2 linked regions of the Tribolium castaneum genome follow. The protein of the gene in region 2 binds, or shares a complex with, the protein of the main gene of each other region. Links are inferred from orthologs where the notes say so. Each region holds a gene or a part of one and is shown on either strand. Other genes may lie near its edges.

Region 1 (3,996 bases), on a different chromosome or scaffold from region 2:
TGTTTTTGTAAAAATGGTAAGCGAGGACGCCAACACCCACGATGGCCATGGCAAAGAAGGAAAATCCTTGGAAAACCATCCTGGCACTAAAATTCCCAACAAACTTACAAACCCAATTTTGACTTATTTAATTACGGTCAAAGTGTCTTTAGGGTGCAGGCTAGTTGTTTGATGTCTGCTTGCTTCACAACCACTTACGAATATCTTACATATTGAGTGTAAAGCTGATAAACAGGGTTTTGTTATTGTCAGAAATAACTGTCAACAATATTACATAACCTAACAACTTTCTTTCTCTGAAATCGGAATATTCGCGGTTACAGTAATTTTTCACTTTATTTTTACAAAACTTATTGGCTGGGATTAGTAATACACAACAAAAAATGGTTCAAAAAACTTTATTTTTGACCTGTACATTTTCCTTTCATTCAAATTACAAGAAAAAATGAAAAACTATATTCTACAAGAAACAATGAGACAAATAAATTAATATTCTAGTCATTCTACAATTCTACATACAGTTTAGGAAACAATAAATGTTAAAATTCGGTTAACATCCTGAAAGGCACAAAATTGTACATATTGCTCATAATAATTGTCATGATTTCAGTTGTTTTAATTAATCAAAGGTTATTTAAAAAAATAGGAAAAAAGCATGAGTGTAGCTGTAATGCTGTTCCTAATGCTAATAAACCTAGGATATGTTGAGATTTGTTAGCTGAGAAAAATTACTGTATCTTAGTTTATGCACATTTGCGACAAACTGGACAACTTCTGTTTTCTTTGAACCATCTTGTGATACACTGATCATGAAATTTATGTTTGCATGGTAAAATAATGCCACCATCACCTTCAGGCAATGGTTCACAACATATCACACATTCCGGAACCGAGTTTCTTCTTTTTTTTCTGTAAAAAGGTGTTTTTGTACGTTGCAGTTACATAATAAGTTACTCACTTGTTCTTTCCTGTATCTGCTGTATCTGGTGTTCTTTCCTGTACCCTCGGTGTGTACACATATGTATACTTATTGTCGCTCTGGTGACAAGAAGCTGTGTTGTTTCTAGCAGTGTAGACTTCATATATGGCCAACCCAATTGCAAAAACCATCGCAGTCATAAGAACTATGCCTTGAACTCCCATCTTTGTTTTCTCTTTTTGTAACGGAAATGTGGCTGGCTATTGTAACAATTACCTACCTTTGCAACAGCAACGTCAGCAGCAGCTGAAGACGACTTATTGATAATTCTGTAATTCCCCTCGATTTATCAGGACCACCAACAAAAAGACGAGAAATAACTCATTTTCACCCTTTTGGTGGGGTTATTGCGGAGGAAAAAATGAGATCAATTCTAAAAATATTCCCACACGCACGTATTTATTCCATTCATTCATTGTAAAGTGCCAAAATCTTTTTTTACCAAAATACGAAAGGACTCGAACGCTTGTTGCAGTGACATATGAAACTTAGCTATTGGTACTTACTGATAATTCTATGGTATCTAGCAAAATACTAACCTTAAAATTTCGCAGTTTGACAGATGGTGTTTAGTGCTTGTGTTTTTTATTTAATTAGGAAAAATATTAAATAAAAACCATTTACTTTGTAATAAAACTTATCATTGGTTTGTTGTCCCTGTCCCAGGCGAGAAATTCGTTACAATGGCAAAAAGAGAAAAACGGGCAAATGCCGGTAACCGTATGGCAAAATTGTTAGATGAAGAAGAAGAATGTCAAGACGAATTCTACAAAACCAATTATGGTGGTTTTGAAGAAACCGAATCCGATAGGGAATACGAGTACTCACTTCTGATTCATTTTGTTCCGTTTTGTTATGGTTTAATTGCAGGGAGGAGGAAGAAGGCGAAGATGTGGTAGATTCCGACTTTAGTATTGACGAAAATGACGAACCTATTTCAGACAATGAGGAGGAGGGTCAGAAGAAGAAACGAAGATTAGTTACAAAGGCTTACAAGGTAATGCACGATTATGACGTTCGATTTTTTGTTAATTTTTATCTGAAACATTGTAGGAACCAGTGCCTGCACCCAGTAAACAAAAAGCAAAACCAAAACCCACAAAACCTGTCCCTAAAGTCAGAACAACCCAACATGAATCCACAGAATACGGTTTGAAAATAACGAGTTAGTTAATAATATTTGGCAACAAACGTGTTACAGAAAGAAAGTCAATCAGGAAGTCCACAGCTGCAAAATCAGCCGCAACAGCACAACGCATCAAAGTACGAAATCTCGAACAAAAGAAAAAAATCAAGAAACCGAAAGAAGAAGAATGGGTGCCAACACAGGAAGAGTTACTCGAAGAAGCAAAAACGACCGAATTGGAGAACTTGAAGTCACTTGAAAAGTACCAAAAGATGGAAAGTGAGAAGAAAACGAAACGAACTGTGAAAAAAGTCATCAATGGCCCTGTTATCCAATACAGATCAACACGAATGCCAATCATTGAGGAAATCAATCAAGATAAAGACATCAAGAACGAATCAGAAAACGTGTGCGAACGCACGTTTATCTCAGTGCTTAATGACCCTAACGATGCCACATTTAACAGCATTTTTGAAAAAAAGACAGCGCGTCCGCTTCCACGACGTCTCAGATGCATTGTCACAGGGTAAAAATAGCTATTTATATGTGCAGGGGCAATTCTTGCTCCCGTCACGTGTACAGGGTGAGTCATTGATATGACATACACCGTCAGTGGTATCGTATTCTAAAATTCTTTGTCCGATAATACAGTCTTCCATTTTTACAGTGCAGTCTAAACATAATTTTTTTAAATGTCAGGGGTTATTTTTTTATTTTTCTACAATTTAATCTGCAGGCATATTACAGTGACTCACCCTGTATATATTTTTTTCGCCTAATTTGGAGGTGCAATGTGCACAGTATGTCTTTCCTGTCTAGGGAGGAAAAGACATAGTTTGCACTTTTGAATTAGGGAGCAAAATATTTTCTAAAAAGCGACGCATTTTTTTATTTTTATTTATTTTGTGTTTTCAGTCACCTTGCAAAGTACGTTGACCCTAAAACGTGTCTGCCTTACCACAGCAGCATGTGTTTGAAGATAATTCGTTCTGCTTATTACCAACAACTGGAAGCTCATGGAGATAAGAGTAATCCAGTAGTTGCAAACTGGCTTAAGTGGTACGTTAAGAATAAGGATAAGTTAAGGAGGGAGTTGGCGTTGAAAGTAAAAACACATCAGGTGGATCACAGTTGATTTATTTTGCTCTATTTAATAAATTTTTATAATACAGTTTCTATTTCTTTCAAATAAAACTGTTTTGGTCTGAGATCAACACGATTAAATGTTAGTGAATGAGTTTGCAACAAATTTGGACGAATGAAAAGCGTCGAAAACGTTTAGTTAATATATTTATTAAACTGGTGCACAAATAATACATTACCATAATCTCAGTAGCCAATAATTTGGCTGAAAATTGGCTTATGAAGTACAACAAGAATTAATAACATTAAATATTATTAATATGACACATAAATTACATCTAGTTTAACATATCATATAAAATTAATAGGTATTTGATAAGCTACCTCATTAATTAATGCCATTATTACTTTGTTAAAATAATTTTAGCACTTGAGTATGAACAGTGTATATCAAAAGAGTAGTTCGATTAACAATGCGAATTTGTTAATAGATTACTGTTTTAATATACAATTCGTTAAAACTCTGAGAAAACGAAATTAATCTCTAATCTAAGTACAACATAATGTAAATATTTATAATAGTTAAAAAATCTTTAAAGTACTCTCAGCAAAACAATTTCATGTCCGAAAACAATTTTCAATAAAACATTCTCTACAAATTGCACATGTCTGATAGTAACACTATTGCACGAAAAAAGGTAAAGATTCTCGTTACAACAAAATGAGTATGATTCTAGATTTGATATTTATTGCTTACTTTGGACGGAAAAAAATGAGATAATCCGCACGTATTGCTTAAATAAATTTG
Region 2 (4,354 bases):
ATACCGCAAAACGTAATGCTAATCATCCTTCCTTTTCTTACTCCTGGAATTCTCCTCATTACCCCTCTTCCTCTTACACCCTGGCTCACTAGTCCTAGTTTCCCTCCTAACAGGCAAATCCTGCGATTGCGCTTGCAACAAAATCTGTATTTGTTGCATCGACTCTTGTTGCATTTGTCTCGCCATATTATAAACCGTATCATTTGTTTTATTATACATAATTGCATTATTAAGCATAAGAAGGACGTCTCTTTGAAACTCCTGCGTTGTTCTTATAGCCCCATTCTCTATATTCTTTCTAATCGTCAACAAATCCATGGGTCTATACACCACACTGTGATACCCTGGAGCTTGGTCATCGGTGATCGGTTTAGAAAACAGTGACGCGTATTTATTTGCAGCCAATCTACTATACACAAGCATTATAGACTTCTTCCAATTGCGATACTCCCGATCATCATCGTAAAAATATATACTGGAAACTGGTGATCCTGGAACTGAATCAATCGGAGTCGCAGGAGTTGAAAGTCGCCTCCTTGTCCGTATTGTAGACACATCTTCCTCCTCCGTCCAGGGACTGTTAGATCTTTCATTCTCGCTCTTAATCCGCGATTTGCTGTCTTTACGGTCCAGTTCGCTGTAATCCCGGTCAGAGAAACTCTCTTCAACCAACTCACTTTCGTCTCTTTGCGCCTTTTCAATGGCCAAGAGAACATCAAATTCTTTATCGTCCTTCTTCTTCGTCCTGGAATAATCGCGCTTTGCTTTCCCGGTCTTGTCCACTTTCACTTCCATATTGATATCGTCGTACAATTCCTCGTTATAGTCGGAAGTCAATGTGGTTGACTCGTCCAGTTTCCTTTCGTCTTTCTTCTCAATCTCTACACTAGATTTTTCATTTTCTGAAACTTTGGCGTCTGTTTCTGATTTTATTTCCGCAACTTCTGTACTTTCCCCTGCTGTTTCTTTCTTTGGTTCCGCTTTAACGGAATGGGCTGGATCTTCAGTTTTATTGACTTCCTTGTCAGTATCCTCATCATCCATAACTACAACTTCTACAATTTCGACGGATCCAGGAGTTGTGCTTTTATCTTTCTTATCGGAATCATCAGTTGGTTCGTTTTTTACTTCTACCAGTTCATCCCGAGATTCTTCGCCATTTGAAGTTAAGTGTTTATTGTCTGAATTTGGGGCTTCGTCAGTAGTTTGTGACCGATCGTCGCTGTCCTGTGCTACCATAGTTTTAGAAGCGTCTGTTTTCACGGCTGTTGCAGGTTTAGCGGGTTCAAAAACTTCCGGATCTTCTTGGAACTCAAACGGATCTATTGCCGGTGTTGTAGTTTCCGTCCGTTTTTCTGTTTCTTTGGTTTCGTCCTTCATATCAGTTTCACTCTCTTCGAAATCTTCCAGTTCCAAATTTAGATTAAGATCACCGTTTCCATCCAGTTGTAGATGCTGTTCCGGATCTGCAACTATATCCTGCGCGTTCTCAATCAAATCGGAGATGATAACATCAACGTCATTCTTTATTTCTGGAAGTGGGCCATTCTGGATCAAGATACTGCTCGCCAAGTCATCAATTTTCAAAATTTGTAGATTGGCATCATCGAGGATATCGTTAGTATTGACATTCTGTTGTTGGGTTTCTTCTCCGGTTGGCTCTTGTCCTATAGCTGTACTAACCAAAAGTTGCAATCCTGGAGAAACTGTTTCTCCAGTTGAGGAGCTTAAAAGACTGGCAATCATGGGGCTAGTAGTTGTGTTGGTTGGCCGTTGGTTGGTAATCGCTGAATGCAATATTGAGGAAGTTGTAACGTTTGGAACTTGTGATGGTGATTTCAGAAGACTTGTCAGAAGTGGCGATAGGGCCGGTTTAGGGGGCTCCTGCACTAGGATTTTCTGTTCTTCTGTTGTATTTTCCATCTCTGGGATTGTGTCCATAGCTTCGGAATTTTTACGTTTTTGACCAATCACCGGGGATGGCTTAACTGGTCTCCACGCTCTTTCTATTTCCTGTTTTCGTAACTCCCTCTCCTTTAGCCACTGTTCGTGTGCCAGGGCTTCTTGTTCCTTCCTGTGTTCCTCTTCATCTATTTCCTTACACCAAATATCCAGTTGTTCTTCACTTACGTTACCTTTAAATAAAACAATTAATTATCAAAAAATACTTAACCGAATTTCCGCAACAGTCTTAAGTTTGAGAGGCTCTAATATAGCCCCTGTAACTTCAAACAACTTTAATTTAATTGTGAATACCTGACTGAAGCAGAGCTTTATCTCTCTGCAATTTCTGATATTCTGCTTTTTCTTCCGCTAGTAGTCTCTTGAGCTCAGCTTGTCTCTCGGCCAAAAGTTTGCGTAGAATGACTTCGGCGGGGGTTTCGATAGTGACTTCGCCCCCAGACGTTCTTTTCTTCCTCTTAGGTGTTTCAACATTCGCTAAAAGAGCCCCATACTGGGCTGCACAGTTCTTCTGGTGGAACCAATCAGGGGGTCTGTTGGGTTCACCAAAGGGTTTTAAAGCTCGGCTCACACTTGTTAAATTCTGGTCCATGTTACGAGCCACTGCTAGAGCCAACTGTTCACGGATTGACCATTTATCCAGCGGTTCACGCTTTATTTGTAAACGTTCTTCAATTGAACTCATTTTGAGGTTATGTTGGCCCGAACGTCCAAAAATCAAATACAAGAACCTTGCCAGGAAAGTGACTAATAGTATCACTGAATAAACATTCTTGAAGTAGAAATTCGCACACAAGAATTATCGTTATAACAAGCTTGAACGTTGTTTATATTTGTCAACTGTCAAAGTGTCAAACCTGGACAAACTATGCAGAAGTTTTGCCTGATTTTTAAAGAAAGTCAACCACAATCAGTGTAAGATTATGTAATGTTTCAAGCACACTTGTCTAAATAATTTCGTAAGATCTTATTATTCATAAAAATTAATAATCTTGAAAATTTCATACGCAGACATTATTAGATATTACGTACAGACCGTGATTTTTGACGAGGGCTTTTATGATCGAAAAGTATTAATTTAATGACTGTTTTTTAATTAATTAGTGTATTTTGGGTGTAGCTGGTTTAATGTTATCAAATACATATAGATTGTGGCCACCTTTTTGTATTTGTCGAATTTTATGGCATATTCTGTTATTAAGTATTTCGGTAGCTTGCGCGGTAGCTACTTTAGTGGCAAGTTGTCAAATTTTTAACCTCACTTTCTTGCGAATGGAATGCAATAAAAAATGTTTTTTTCGAATGCTTTGGAAGCTGTTTCTGGTGGTAGCTCCACCCAGTGTCCCAAAGTGAAGTAAAAAAAGAAGTTGTGAGTGTATACATAACAATCAAATGTAAGGATACTCTTTGAAAAAAAAAAAAAAGGTGGAAACAGTATTCAGAATGGCCCCCGAAGGGCGAATCAGTTATTACATCGACAAATATGGAGTGTTTCATAAAAGTGGTGGAAAAAACGACAAGCCGGTGAATGCACCAGCGTTTGAGACAAGTGTGACAAGACCTTCCTCAACTTGGCTGCGTCTGATAATAATGTTTTGGAATGCAAGAGTTATGAAAGCGGCTTTTCGTTTTGGCGTTGCTGCAATAATCATGAATCAGTATGAGCGTCTGGGATTTGCGGTCCTCTTACTGTGTTTCACGCTATGATAGTTTACTTTGTAACATAGTAGTTGAATAAATTTGTTTGAAATGTTTTTGTGTGTTGAAGGAAATGCGGGCAAACTGTAAAAATGCAGCTTTATTCAATTATAAACCAAATTATAACAACAGTTAAAACATTAAATAATTTGAGATTACTCTAATAGTTGACCAAGAGGGTAGCGATGCGCAATTTAAAATAGGCACTTTTCTACATTTATTTACATGATTCTGAAAAAAATCCCTACTTATAAGGTGAATATGACTGTGAAGGAAATTTTCAACAAATCGTAATTTTGTGAATAAGAAATGATTTTGTTAAAATCGCTCTCATCGTCAAAAGCATTTCCCAAAGTTACGTCACCTAATTTGATAACAGCATGAGCACTTTCGGTAAAAATATAACAGACTTCGTTACAGAATTGCAGTTTTAACCCCTAAAGTGTGTGTAACTACATCCTTTACAACTAAAACACTTCATATACTCTACTCTCATTACGTAACAAAGCAATATTTATAATTTCAGTCTAGGCTAGGATTCATCATGGCAAGAATTTGTGAAACCTATTTTAACATAAATTATATGATATAATTGATATTCATTATTCTTTTACATTCTACTTATAAATAGGTACTCTATGAATGTTGCATCGTGAACGGATGAAAATAAAAGCATGTCAATGTACACTTTTCT

The links.
Region 1: Brd8 (region 2) and YL-1 share a complex: the UniProt entries of both Homo sapiens proteins name them as parts of the nuA4-related complex. The link is inferred for Tribolium castaneum from reciprocal best matches to the Homo sapiens genes BRD8 and VPS72.

Annotation. Positions count from the first base shown.
Region 1 is NC_087397.1:8,922,126-8,926,121, forward strand, and holds YL-1 (vacuolar protein sorting-associated protein 72 homolog), read left to right. Parts: upstream 1-1,516; 5' UTR 1,517-1,662; coding exon 1,663-1,799; intron 1,800-1,849; coding exon 1,850-1,976; intron 1,977-2,032; coding exon 2,033-2,129; intron 2,130-2,180; coding exon 2,181-2,631; intron 2,632-3,020; coding exon 3,021-3,240; 3' UTR 3,241-3,276; downstream 3,277-3,996. UniProt on the Homo sapiens protein: Deposition-and-exchange histone chaperone specific for H2AZ1, specifically chaperones H2AZ1 and deposits it into nucleosomes.
Region 2 is NC_087396.1:10,840,429-10,844,782, reverse strand, and holds the start of Brd8 (bromodomain-containing protein 8), read right to left. Parts: upstream 3,049-4,354; 5' UTR 2,648-3,048; coding exon 2,257-2,647; intron 2,136-2,256; coding exon 19-2,135; 3' UTR 1-18. UniProt on the Homo sapiens protein: May act as a coactivator during transcriptional activation by hormone-activated nuclear receptors (NR). Isoform 2 stimulates transcriptional activation by AR/DHTR, ESR1/NR3A1, RXRA/NR2B1 and THRB/ERBA2.